2 separate regions of the Mus musculus genome follow, and region 1 is reported to be linked to region 2. The links are microRNA targets in miRTarBase. Many come from high-throughput screens and were not tested one by one. Region 2 holds a microRNA gene; the other region holds the end of a gene's coding sequence.

Evidence for each region. Region 2 holds the annotated microRNA mmu-miR-7b-5p (UGGAAGACUUGUGAUUUUGUUGUU, at 4,550-4,573, shown strand). A microRNA usually pairs through its seed, bases 2 to 8, with sites in the 3' UTR of a target mRNA and lowers its output. Matches are read on the target gene's strand: a 7mer-m8 pairs with bases 2 to 8, a 7mer-A1 pairs with bases 2 to 7 and ends in A, and an 8mer does both.
Region 1: miRTarBase lists Antxr1 as a target of mmu-miR-7b-5p. Seed matches in the 3' UTR shown: 7mer-A1 at 1,955-1,961 and 7mer-m8 at 2,792-2,798.

What each region holds. Positions count from the first base shown.
Region 1 is chr6:87,130,629-87,137,737 of GRCm38, reverse strand. It overlaps Antxr1 (anthrax toxin receptor 1), which reads left to right. Exons shown (of 18, transcript NM_054041.2): 18 at 383-3,885. The coding sequence ends at 643. Among named protein-coding and RNA genes, the nearest start is that of D6Ertd527e, 29 kb to the right of the region's middle.
Region 2 is chr17:56,238,468-56,245,587 of GRCm38, forward strand. It overlaps Mir7b (microRNA 7b), which reads left to right and starts at 4,521; the gene lies at 4,521-4,631. A230051N06Rik (RIKEN cDNA A230051N06 gene) reads left to right here and starts at 3,249. Exons shown (of 2, transcript NR_155493.1): 1 at 3,249-3,347; 2 at 3,689-4,338.

The DNA.
Region 1 (7,109 bases), not on the chromosome of region 2:
AGGCCCTGGGGAAAGGGACTTGTTTCTCAACACTAGTTTCTTCCCCCAGGCAAGGGAATGGTGGCCACACCCTACTGGCAAGGCTAAAAGTAAATGGGACACCCTTCATAATGTTACAGCCAGGTTAGCATCGGCCCACTTCCCTCTATCCCCACCCAAGACAGTGAGAGACTGTAAGGGAAATGGATTTTGACAATTCTGAGACCCAGCCAGCCCAGGAAAGGACATGGATTCAAAGAAACCAGTGACTAATGTGACATCAGGTCACTAGGTCATCAGCAGCATGTTGTCAATGTGTCTCTTGTCCCTCAAGGGCCACCATGTTCAGCACTTGTTCTTCCTTAAGACATTGGCTCATGGTCCTCCTCTGATTCTCTTCCAGGGACGCTGTATCAACTTCACCAGAGTGAAGAACAGTCAGCCAGCCAAGTATCCCCTGAACAACACCTACCACCCCAGCTCCCCACCTCCCGCTCCTATCTACACACCCCCACCCCCTGCTCCCCACTGCCCTCCCCCAGCCCCCAGTGCCCCCACTCCTCCCATTCCTTCCCCACCATCCACTCTCCCCCCTCCTCCTCAGGCCCCACCCCCTAACAGGGCACCTCCCCCCTCCCGACCTCCTCCAAGGCCTTCTGTCTAGAACCCAAAGTCCGAGCTCTGGGCTGCCTGAGCAACTCCAGCAGGAGGCTTCTCTGCTGAAAGAAAGATCTGCCCAGCCTATGTGGTGAGTGGCACCTGATGTTTGCACGATTTAAAAGCAAGTCGTGATGGGCAGAACAAAATGGGCATTTTGAACTGCCTGAAGACAGACAATGAGACAATAACAGTCACATTATAGCCTGTGACCCCTCACCTCTAGAGGAAGGTTCCCGAGATGGCCACATTGCCACAGTGCTCTCAGCCAGATTATGTCCCATGAAGACCAGGAAGAAAGTGACTTCCAAGAATGGAATGCAGCATTGGATAAGAAGCACCTGGCTGAGATTCTGACCTCACTGATTTGACTCTTGATTCTTGGACTGGGAGCCAGGCCATCTCCACCCCTGGTACCACCCAGCAACTCTGAAAATGTGCAGTGTCCCTAGTATGCATCGAATAGGTATCCAACTGGGATCTGCAGGTTGCCTTATAAAGAGCATATGCTCTATTCTCTTTCCCGAACTTCCTGGTTTCCCAGTGATGAGGGAAGGGGAAAGGTGTTGCCATGCTTAGAAGTTAGAGGACGTCAGTGCTCAGCACTGATGGAGAAGCGTTGATGGGAGTGTCCAGCTCTTACATCTAGAAATGGCTGGCTTCAGCAGGCACAGTTCCTAAACCAACAAGCCTTGTCATTGTCAAAGGCAACCTACTAATGATTCACCTTAAACATCAAGGTTGACTGTGGCATAGGTCAGAGCTGATCACACAGAACCTTCCCCATGAAATCGCAAGGTTCCTCATCTTCAAATACCCAGGACCCCAGAGATTTCTAAATCCAGCTAAGAGACAGTAGTCCTGACTTGGCAAGAAAACCATTCCCAGTTGTTTTACTCTGAAACAGGCCGTTGTATGTATGGTATATCTCTCCTTGGCCTTTCAACCTGCTCACAAGTATTACCAGTTATGAAGCAAGGAGAAATACATCCAGTGTGTAATAGAAAAGCTCTGCCCGCAATCCCCATGTCACTCCTCTACATTATTCTGAAGCTGCTTGGTCAGTGAGCCCTTTAACCTCATGTAGACTCTGGACACTGTCACCCAATCATGAAAACAGAGGTCATTGTCAAAGGCAGTGTATAGCCTGTACAAAAATGATGCTTCCTTCCTCAGTTTCCACAGGCCCCAAAATTCCTGTCTTAGGCTCCTAAACCTCTAAACTTTTTCCTGGAACAAAAGATATAAAACGGGCATAAGTTTTTATGTTTTGGGCTGTGATCTCCAAAGATCCTTCAAGAACTCAAGTTAGCCTCATTCTTCCAGCTTGTTTAGAACAGAGGCATCCAGGTGTCATGCACTCCATAGACACCAATCCTTGTTCCCAAGGCAGACATTATTAATCAATCTCAGCACTAGTTCTCAATTTAATCCAATTATATTTTTCCACAGTACTTCACATCTCTTATGACCTGTTGGTCATCAGTTAGAATTGAGAGAGATAAACACTGTTTGTAATCCCTACCTTAGAAAGAAAAGCAGAGGAGAATGGGGGAACCACCAGCATAAAAGTTATTATCTGGGGAAAATCGACCTGAAAGAACGCCCAAGTCCAAGACCTATGGTGCTGACACCAAAGTAACACTTTCCCAAGTGTACCCCAGACCCCACTCTTCTCCCTGTGGCCACCACTCCCTGCTTTTCAGGAGTTGTGAAAAAGATCTCCTTCACCCTTACTGTGCCCCCATATTAGAACAAGGCTTGTTTAGTGTAGTCCTTGTTAAACAGGTGCCAGAATGTCTCAGCCACCTGAGATGACATTGCTGGGCCCCAGAAAACCATTCCAAGGAGAATGGGCTCCCCAGGCTCAGAGCATGCAACTATGAGCCCATGGCAACTGTTTTGACTGCTGGCAGTACAAAACGGGCCACCCCACATTACAGCTGCAGGATTTGTGCAGCCATAAGAAAGTACGAACCAAGATGCTGGCGTTGCTGTTCAACAAGCATGGGCTTCGGGGAAGGCAGCAGACTCCGAGAGCAGGCCTTGTGCAGTGTCCCAAGGGGCTGTGGTGAAGTGTCTGAGGAAAAATGAATGCTGATACATGGTGATTCTGAGAAGAATTTGCAAGGTTTGACCTTAGAATTTATGGAATGTCTTCCCTGGTCATTCAGAATTATGGCTAGAAGTTTCTAGAAACCGTCAAGGTTAATACCTTTCAGAGTAGGTGATTACAGGCAGGAAGAGCTTTGATGTGGTTTACAAAGCCCATCAGTTCTGTGTCATTCCCTGTAAGCAACAGGAGATGGTGGTTGTGATTAGCAAACTGCATGTGTTATTTGTTTGACTCCTTGTTATTGTCCTTACGGAGGATTTTTTTTATATAAGCCAAATTTTGTTGTATATATTCATATTCCACGTGACAGATGGAAGCACGTCCTATCAGTGTGAATAAAAAGAACAGTTGTAGTAAATTATTAAAGCCAGTGATTTCATGGCAGGTTACCCTACCAAGCTGTGCTTGTTGATCTCCCATGACCATACTGCTTTTACAATGTACAAATAGTTCCTAGGTGACGAGACCCTCCTTTACATAATGCCGATGACAGCCTTGCTGGGAACTGCGGTCCTTCTGCTGTGACAGCCAGCTCGAAAACAGGTCCTGCCTGGAGCTTGCCACACACTTTAGGGAGACATAAGAGCTGTCTTTCCCCAGCGTCAGGGACAAAGCTACCATAAAGAAGTGGAAAAGTCTTGGCTCTCCAGCCTGGGACAGAGGTCTCTCTGGAACCCCAAGGAAGAGCAGAAATGATCCTTGCCTGCCACTGCACACAATGTGATGGTGGAAAATCCATCAAGGAATAATTGTGAGATAATGACCGACAGTTCAGGCGCAAAGGGAATTCATGCTGTGTAAAGTGGGTGGAATTCGTTTGCAAGCTATGCAAAGCCTGATCTTACTCACCAGGAGGATGGAAAGGGTTTTTTTAGTTATCTGAGCTCAGCTGAGTTATCACGCTTGGAGAACCGATTTAAAGGAATTAGAATATGATTTCTGAATACACATAACATTAAACTCTTCTCTTTTTCTATGGTAATTTAGTTATGGACGTTCAGCGTCTCTGAGTTATTGTTATAAAAGACTTGTCATCACCGCACTGTGCTGTAGGAGACTGGGCTGAACCTGTACAATGGTATACCCTGGAAGTTGCTTTTTTAAAAAAAAATAATAATAAACACCTAAAATCAGTGCTTGTTACTTGTTATTTCTATACCTGCCATAAAAATAATATGCACGTGTTTCAAGTACTTACTGAGGATCATAAAAGCAGAGCTAGCGGGCCAGTGAGACGGCTCAGCTGGCAAAGGGGCTTGCTGCCAAGCCTGACAGCCTGAGCTCAATCCATGGGGCCCACATGGTGGAAGGAGAGAACCCACTCCTGAAAGCTGCCCTCTTGCCTCCCTGTGTACACTAAAGGACACAAGCATCCACATACATGCACAGAGACACAAAATAAATGTTAAAAAGTTTTAAACAAAATAGCTATCATTCTGTACACTGAAATATATATTTTTTTCAAATATCTTCTACACATTAAAATCTGTACTACCGTGACGCACGCCTTTAATCCCAGCACTTGGGAGGCAGAGGCAGGTGGATTTCTGAGTTCGAGGCCAGCCTGATCTACAAAGTGAGTTCCAGGACAGCCAGGGCTACACAGAGAAACCCTGTCTCGAAAAAAACAAAAAACAAAAAACAAACAAAAAATCTGTACTACCATCTTTAGCTCTTAAGAGTTAAAGTGGTCCTCATTTCTAGTAATAATTTTCAAATTTTAAAAAAGCATTCTTGGTAAGTGAAAAATAGAATCCGAAGAAACTAAAATGCGGACCAAAAGAAAATTAACTGAGGCAGAAACAGGAGGATTGTTGCTAGTTAATGGCTACCCTGGACTAGATAGTCAGCTCCTATCTCAAATTAGCAAAAAAATAGTGTGTTACAATTTAAGTCTGACATAAACACACTCACACTCACACACACACACACACACACACACACACACACACACACACGTTTCTGCATTTGAACACCTGATACTCCAAAGTTTTGAGGGGCTACCAGACCCTCAGGGGGTGGGACCTGGATGGCAGAGAAGAATCACTGGTCAGGATTGAGGGTTAAAGCTGCGGGTCCACCATGTGAGAAGTTGTGGCCTCCATGGGTTCACTCGGCCACACCCTCCTTCTGTGATGCCGCTCCCTCTATGACTGAGACAAGAGAGCCTGCTCTCCCTGAAGCAGCTCCTGCCAGGTATTTCCCTCCCAAGGAAAGTAATGAATATAGCTGTCAGGCAGCGGGTATGGGGGAATAAAGGGGGTGGGAGAGAACTCTGGGCAGAAGAACTCCTCTCCACGTGGCCTCTGGTGAGTGTCTGACTGTGTGAAGCCATGGACCCAGTCCATGGTGGACAGGGGGCAGTCCGAGGTCTCTGGGCCTCACAGAAGCCAGAGATAACAGGTTCTCAGTCTTGGACATCCCAGATGCCGCTGTATGTCAAGAGAGAGCTGAGAACAAAGTGGAGGCTCTGGGGAGGCTTGGTCATAGAGAGGAGTGGACAGGGGCATAGGGGGCACTAGGTGATTCCCACACAGGCGAGGGTCTAGAGCGCAGAAAGGCTTTCTGATGGGTGGTTAGATGCGGCTCTTTAGGGGAAAACCTATTCCATTGTTCAAGCACGGCGGGCCTTGATGAGCAGAGACAATACATGGTTTCAGAGCTTTATTGTAAAAAGGCCAAAGAGAAAGAGAAAAGGTACAAGAGAGAGGCTGGCCATGGCCACATAAAGAGAAGGGGGAAGGAAGGAAGAAAAGGAGAGCTAGAGATGAGAGTAAGAAAGGTAAGAGCTTAAGAGAGAGAGGAGGGGCCAAGCAGCCCCTTTTATAGTGAGCTGGGCTATCCTGCAGTTTCTGGGTAGCTGTGGGGAGGAGCATACCTGGCTATTGTCAGGTAACTGTGAGGATGGAGTCTCACTAGAATGCCAGGAGCTTGGGGCTTTGTCTGCCTGACTGATAATCACAGAATTATGAAGTTGGGGGCTCTGCGGTGTCAGGCACCTGTCTCTGGGAACATGGCTCACTGTTCCGTCCCTTGTAAACTTTCCTACTGGGTCTCTGGAGCAAGCCTCGCTCAGCCAAAGGAGGCTGCCTTTCACGGCCCCGCGTATAACCAGTGAAGACTGTTCTGGCTGCTGAGGCAGAAGGGACATGGGTTCTTCTCTGAGAGCTGCTGTCCAGGAATCACTGTGGAGAGCTCAGTCTATTGCAGAATATGACACTGTTTTTATGGTGTCTCTTTGTGGTCCCAGAGCTTTCCCTCCTAACCTCCCAGGGCAGCTGCTTGCATTTAGGGAAACAGACTCGTACTAGTTCCCTGGTTTACTTCATAAGACTTCATTAGGACTAGATTCATCTTAAGCAGAATAACAAGATCTGTTAACACAATCAGGCCAACATTTGTTCCAAATTTTCATTAATATTCACTTTAAGGATGTATACTTTGAGTATGTACACATTTTTCAGTTACATCCTTAATACATAATCTGAGATAATTAACAGGAATTTGAAAGGAAAACAGAAAAGCTGGAATCCTCCCTCATTCCTTACACCACCATTGATTGCAATTGTCTTATACTGGGAAAATGGAGCTGGAGGAATGGTCAGCAGTTAAGAGCCCCTGCTGCTCTTCCAGAGCATCTGAGTTCTGTTCCTAGCACCCACCTCAGGAGACCCACAAGCATCTGTGACTCCAGCTCTAGTGGGATCCAGCGCCCTCTTATGGCCTCTGAAAGCACTGCACTCACATGCTCATATACACACATAAACATAAAGGCAGGAGAACAGCTCTTTCTTAAATGGAAACATGTTTTCTATATGGTAGAAAGAACTTAAGATATTTGCATTCTACTTGCATGGCTTGTCAACTATCTCCTGAAATCACTTCCAGTGCTCTGAGGAGTGTCACTGTGCACTGGGCTGAGTACGCAGAGATGTCATCAGTAGGCCCGCTGCTGACTGTGGACAGGAGCTTGAGTTCCTTGGGTGCTCGCCACTAAATCCCGTCTTCTGCCTTCAGTTAAATCCGTCTTGCTTAAGGTTTAATTTGCTGCGATGAAACACCCTGACCGAAAGCAACTTGGGGAGGAACGGGTTTATCTCACTTTAAACTTCCATATCAGAGGAAGTCAGGGCAGGAACCTAGAAGCAGGAACTGAAACAGAGGCCATGGGGTTGCTGTGTGTGTATGATTTTTACTGGCTTACTAAGTGTCCCCTCATCATAGTGCTTTCTCATACTGTCCAGAACCACCTGCGGAGGGGTGGCTCTTCTACCCTATGCCTGAGGCTTCCCAGTCAATCATTAATCAAGCAAATGCCCCACAGACTTGCCTACAGACATATCTATGCAAGCATGTT
Region 2 (7,120 bases):
GTGGGTGTCGTTGGGTGATTATTAAAAAACCTTCATTCATAGCTGGGCGGTGGTGGTGCACGCCTTTAATCCCAGCACTCGGGAGGCAGAGGTAGAAAGATTTCTGAGTTCGAGGCCAGCCTGGTCTACAAAGTGAGTTCCAGGACAGGCAAGGCTACACAGAGAAACCCTGTCTCGAAAAACAAAACAAAAAACAAAACAAACACACAAACAAAAAACCCTTCATTCATGCTGGGCAGTGATGGCACATGCCTTTAATCCTGGCACTTCAGAGGCAGAGAGAGGTAGACAGATTTCTGAGTTTGAGGTCAGCCTGGTCTACAGAGCAAGTTCCAGGACAGCCAGGGCTACGAAGACAAACCCTGTCTTAAAAAGAAAACAAAAGCAGCTCTTTCTCTTCTGGTCCCAGGCGGTGTGGGAGCCGTGGGTTACCGTGCAGACATGGCCAAGTCCAAGAACCACACCACACACAACCAGTCCCGAAAATGGCACAGAAATGGCATCAAGAAACCCCTGTCGCAAAGATACGAACCTCTTAAGGGGGTTGACCCGAAGTTCCTGAGGAACATGCGCCTTGCCAAGAAGCACAACAAGAAAGGCCTGAAGAAGATGCAGGCCAATAATGCAAAGGCAGTGAGTGCGCGCGCAGAGGCCATCAAGCCCAAGATGCCAAAAGGCCCCAAACTCAAGCGGCTGGCTTTCATCGCTCACCCTAAGATTGGGAAGTAAATTCGAAGCTACATGGCCAAGGGTCAGAGGCTCTGCCAACTGAAGCCTAAGGTCCAAACCAAGGCAGGGGCCAAAGCTCCAGATAAGGCCCAGGCTTCAGCTCCAACCCAGGCTTCCAAAGGTGCTCAGGCCCCCAAAGGTGCCCAGGCCCCTGTGAAGGCCCCATAGAAAAGGCTCCTGCCAGTGTGAAGACAGACAGACTGCTGTGACACACCTCCCCACACACTATTTGCAGATGATCAGTGTCCTATGCTGCTCTCACAAACTCAGGCAAGATCTGTAAAAAACAAAAACAAAAACACAACAAACAAAAAAAAATCAAAAGCAAAACAAACACACAAAACTTTCATTCATCGGTGCCTGCCCACACCCGTAGTTTTCATGACACAGGACACATTGAGGTGTCACCAGAGGGAGAAAGTGGGAATCATGAACCTTCACACAGTTTTCCAGGATAGGAGCAGAGCGCATCAACAAGGGAGACAGACCTGAGGGACTTGAGGCCAGTTGGAGCTGGAAATGGCAGCCTACACCTGTGATCCCAACTCTTAGAAAGCTGGGGCAGAGGATTTCAAATATGAGAGCAACCTCAGCTACAGAGCAAAGCCCCTATGTCAAAGAATTAAAATACACTGCTGGAGAGGTAACTGAAGTGTTTGCCACGCAAGTGTGAAGGACTGAATTTCATCCCAGCACCCATCAGAAACCAGGCATGGCAGTGAAAATAGCACACATGAGGAAGCACATGTGTAAGTTCCTGGACATTTTCTTCATGATGTCCAAACAGTGGCGTAGTTCAAGGACTCTGAGTCCTTGAACTAGGAAATATCTGATGGACAAAATCCATCCACAAAATGATTGTGATTCAATCCTGAGAGATGTGTGGGGGCAATGGAGCTGGAGGGTGAAGGCACTTGCTGTGGGGTGGCCTGAGTTCTATCCCTGGGACACATGTGGCAGAAGAAGAAAACCTACTCGTGCAAGGCTTTCACAGAGCTCCAGATAAGCACCATGGCGCGTGTGTGCACATGCATGAGGGTGGGCTTTCACACACCGTTTCACTTTCTATTGATTTGTATGTGCGGACATGGAACACAGGACCTCACAAATGTGAGAGAAGAAACCTGCCAAACAGCTTCCCGTAGCCCCAAACGATTCTCCAGCGTGGCAGTGGTGATGCCAACCTTTAATCCCAGCACTCAGGAGGCAGAGACAGGTTGATCTTTCTGAGTTTGAAGCCAGCCTGGTTTACACAGTGAGTTCCAGGACAGCCAGGGCTACACAATGAAGCCCTGTCTCAAAAAGCAAACAAGCAAGCAAGCAAGCAAACAAACAATAAAAAGAACAAGAATTCTCCAAAGGTTTAAAATGAATTAAATTAAATGTGGGCTGCAGGACCCACAAGCTCTCTGCTGACTTCTATGCATGTACTGTGCATGTGCACATAAATAAATAAATAAATAAATAAATAAATAAATAAATAAATAAATAAATAAATCTTATAATTTCAGGGAGATGACTTAGCTCTTTGAGGGACTGCAAGGCTCTGGGTTCATATCCAAATTGAAAGAATGGGAAGAAATAAGAGAGAAAAACAAAGGGCGTGGGGCATGCAAGTTTTACCCAAGAGACTGCTAGAAGGGAAAGGGACAACTGATCAGAGCTTAGATCTTGCAGGTGGCTTTCCAGGGTCTCATCCCAGGTTCCCTGCAGCCCCTCCTCCCATGCCCCTAGGGTGTATAGAATGAACCTGGCTTGCCAGCTCCGCAGCCTGAGGAGCTGGTAGGAGATTTACAAGCCTGAGTGTGTGTCCTCCCTGACTGTCTGTCCCTTTGGTGCTACAAAGGAAGCTATGTAAATGAAGGTGTGTGATGTGCCACACACCAGCCTTCCCAGTGCTGAGAAGGCTGAGGCAAGAGGATCACAAAAGTGAGAGAGACTGTGTTAGAGGGGGGAAACTGTGACTAGGGCTCAGGGACAGAGCGCTGGCCCAGCAATCAGAAAGCACTAAGTTCCATTCCCAGCACTGCATCAATCTAGTGTGGAGGCAAACTCCTGATGGGAGCCTGAGGCAGGAGAATCATAAGTTTGAGGTCATCATGGACTACAAATCAAGACCCTAACTCAAAACAAAACAAAAATCGCCAGAGCTCCGCCTCTATCCTACGCTTCTGTGAGTCTCATTCCCGCACACTTCATCTTCCCTGTGTAGAATTGGACTTTATTTTCAAAATCCCTCAATTTCTTCAAACATTTTTTTTCAGCTTCTCTGTCCCAGCAGGCACACGCTTGATGATCGCTAATCCTCTGGCTACTCAGTGATCAGGTTTTAGATGATCCTCTCGTGGAAACTTAACAGGCCACAGGACTACACCCTGACACCTTCTGGAGACCCCTAAAGAAGTTTTTGGACGGATGCCTGACTTTTATTCTGAAGCCGAGGCCTCAACCTATGAGGTAATCCTTGGAGCTTCATTCCAAGACGATTCCTATTGGTTCACTGGCTAAGCCCCACCCAGGGTTTCCAGCGCTCCGCCTTCCCCTTAAGCGCATAAAGGTGAAACGTCGGAAACTGGACAGCCACCGAGACACCTGCAGCTGCTGGTGAGCAGGAGAAGGTAAGGCACGAAGGAAGGAGGAAAAGGTGCGCTGAGGGAGGGAAGCGGGGACTCTGGGTACAATGCAAGTTGGCACATCTTCCAGAAGGCCAACTGGACTGTTTAGGAAGGGCAGAGAACCCAGGGCTGTCTCCCTGAGATGTGGGAGCAGGTGAGAGCCTTGCGCCTTCGTCCCCGCCTAGAACACCCCGGGTCCATGGGAAGAGATTAAAACAGAAGATGGGTCCCTAGGACGAAGAACAGAAACAAGGAGCGGGGCATTTTGGCAGAAGGCAGAAGCTGGGAGAGTGTCCTCGAGCCGCACTGACCACCCCCTCCCCCAATAACTAATTATGTTTCAGCACTGGAGACGCGGACAGCGCCATCCGGCTGAGGGACTCGGAGCAGAGTTCGGCTTCAGCACCAGGATTTCGGACAGCTCCCAGCGGGTCACGAAGAGACTAGGCTTCAGCACCCGGCCCCTGGCAGTGCCAAGCTCTCAACACCCAGCTTCAGGGATCGCCTTGGGGTCTGTTCTGGCGGAGAGTGTACAGGGAAGGAACCTCTTAATGGTTCTTGGCATTTGTCCTTTACGGAGGGATTTTTTTTTTCTTTTTTGAAACAGGGTTTTTTTGTGTGTACCTCTAGCTGTTCTGAAACTCACTATGTAGACTAGGCTGGCTTCAAACTCACAGAGTACAGGCGAAGCATTTGGTCAACGAGATGTTATGAGTGCCTCTGGGTGTACTAATTTCCAAAGTGAAGTGGTGAGGGGAAAGCCAGCCTCAATCCAACTTTAAATCTCAAGTTCTTTTTATTTTTAAAAAGAGTTTTTCTCTCAATTATATATATAATTATTATTATTTTAAAACACTGTAGACCAAGCTTTGAACTCCTTGTGTAGCCAAAGATGATCTTGAAGTTCTCATCCTCCTGCCTCTACTCCCTGCGTGCTGGGGTGACAAGTGTGTGCTCCTCGTGCCTGGAACAATAAATCCCACGTTGGTGATGTGCCAGGGTGTGAGTTGGGGGGCAGGTAGAGAATGAATCTTGCCTGTGTCTCAGGGGATGGAATGGAAAAGGGATGTCTAGGGAGGGTAAGTCAGTGAGTGGGGTTTGTTATGCTCAATCCTCTATGGAGAGAGAGAGAGAAGCACTTGAGGGTGTTGAACCTGGCGGAGGAGGATGAGGACGAGGAGCGGAGTACGTGAGCCAGTGCTATGTGGAAGACTTGTGATTTTGTTGTTCTGATATGATATGACAACAAGTCACAGCCAGCCTCATAGCGTGGACTCCTATCACCTTTCTCCTGAAATACACAAACAGGTAGGGGCAGGAAACTGGGACAGGAGGGGGTTAAGGGAAGTCTAGCACGGACAGGAGAGGGTGTCTAGCAAGGTCTCGGGCCCTGGGAGAGTGCAGGAGTGTTTCCCATGCTATTGGCCTGTCACTCAAACACATCTACATGATAGGATCAGAGACACAACCTCAGGGCCCTGGGTCACAGCACCGTGCTTTCTCTGGAGACTCAAATAGGGAATGGTGAGCCAGTGGAGTAACTCAGAGGGAAAGAGTGCTTTGAAATTAGGGAACCCAAGCTTGAGCCCCAGGATCAACTGGGTAGAAGGATAAAACCAACTCCTGCAAGTTGTCCTCTGACCATACATGTCCTGTGACACACATGCTTCCACACACAAATAAATAAACACACATAAAAATTTTTCTTTTTTTTTTTTTTAAGAGAGGGTTTCTGGGGCTGGTGAGATGGCTCAGTGGGTAAGAGCACCCGACTGCTCTTCCGAAGGTCCAGAGTTCAAATCCCAGCAACCACATGGTGGCTCACAACCATCTGTAATGAGATCTGACTCCCTCTTCTGGTGTCTGAAGACAGCTACAGTGTACTTACATATAATAAATAAATAAATCTTTAAAAAAAAAAAAAAGAATTACATTTAAAAAAAAAAAAAAAAGAGAGGGTTTCTGTATATAAACCTGGCTGTCTTAGAACTTACTCTGTAGACCAGGTTACCCTCAAATTCAGAGATCCACCTGCCTCTGCCTCCTGAGTGTTTGAATTAAAAGCATGTGCATACATAAAACTTTTTTTTTTTTTGGTTTTTTGAGACAGGGTTTCTCTGTATAGACCTGGCTGTTGCTCTGTAGACCAGGCTGGCCTCGAACTCAGAAATCTCCCTGCCTCTGTCTCCCAAGTGCTGGGATTAAAGGCATGCGCCACCACTGCCCGGCCATAAAACTTTTAAAAGAGGGATTGGCATCAAAGGTACTTCTAGAAAACCCTGAAATTCTTTTCTCTTTCTTGTTTTCTTTTCCTCACTCTTTTCACTTTGCCTGCTTTGAGACAGTGTCACCTGTAGTCCAGGCTTTTCTCTAACTCTGAATGTAGCCCAGGATGGCTTTGAACACTGAGTTCTCTTGCCTCCAGTCCCTGAGAACCATGCCTAGCATACACGGTGTTGGATTCAGAATTTCAAATGCTTTGACTGGGTACGGTACCCATGGAGCCCCAGCCCAATTTTCAATAAAACTCTGTGCCCGCCACACAAAGCAACCACTAGTTGCATGACTGATACCAAGAAAATGTGGACTTGTTGTCTGGTGGGTCATGGCATTCTTAACATTCAACACCTATCATCTGTGACATTCTAATGCAGTCACTAACCATCCCCCACTGTGCAATTCTCCCCAGCTGTCCTAGTGTGCATCCTGGTGCTGTGACAGGACCTTGACTCAAGAAAAGGGCAGGAAAGAGTTTATTCAGCTTACAATGATGGCCACACTCCATCACTGAGGGAAGTCAGGGCTGGAACCGGGAGGCAGGAGCTGATGCAGAGGCCATAGAGGGGTGTTGCTTACTGGTTGCTTACTTGCTTCCCCTGGCTTGCTCAGTCTTCTTTCTTATAGAATCTGGGACCACCAGTCCAAGGATGGCACCACCCACAATGGCCTTAAATCATTAATCATGAAAATACCTGATAAAGGCCTTTTCTCAATTGAGGTTCCTGCTTCCCTTAAGCTCCACCCGTGTAAAGCTGACATCAAACTCAGTCACACAGCAGCCCAGGGGCTGCTTTGTCCATGCAGTTTCCTCTCTTGGGTCTGCACAGTCCACTCACATAACCTCCCATAACCAACTCTGCCTTCTCCAGGCTTCAGCTCGGTGGGAGAAACTTCCTGTTACCTCACTGGTCAATTAGGACAAGACTTTGTTAACATTCTCAGCCTCCTGCAACGGCCACACTATTTAGGAAAGGCTGATACTCTCAAACAGAATGTTTACAGATCTCTTCTGGGGGACTCTAAGTGGGGCTCCACCCCTGACCATGCCCTCAACTCCTCACTGGGTGATTCTAGGAGACTCCACCACTGAACCTGGCCCCCATCCTTTACTGGGGTTTCTACGTGTGGGCTCAACCCATGACCCAAACCCAACTACAGGGAAAAAATACCAGGAAGAATTTAAGATGAAAACATGTAGATTCAAGGCAGGGTTTTTATTGATAAGTCATACTTCCAGCTTTTATTTTGTTTTTGTTTTTTTTTTTTTTTTTTGGAAACAGGATAACACTATATAGACTAAGCTTGTCTGAAACTCAAGAGACCCACCTGCTTCTGCTTTGCCTCTAGAGTGCTGGGGTTAAAGATGTGACCACATCCCACCCCGTGCCTGGCTTATCTTTTATTTATTTTTTTGAGGATGTCATGCTACTTATACCCTGAATAGCCTTGAACTCATGATCTTCCTGTCTCTGCTTTTTCATAATCTAGGGTGAGAG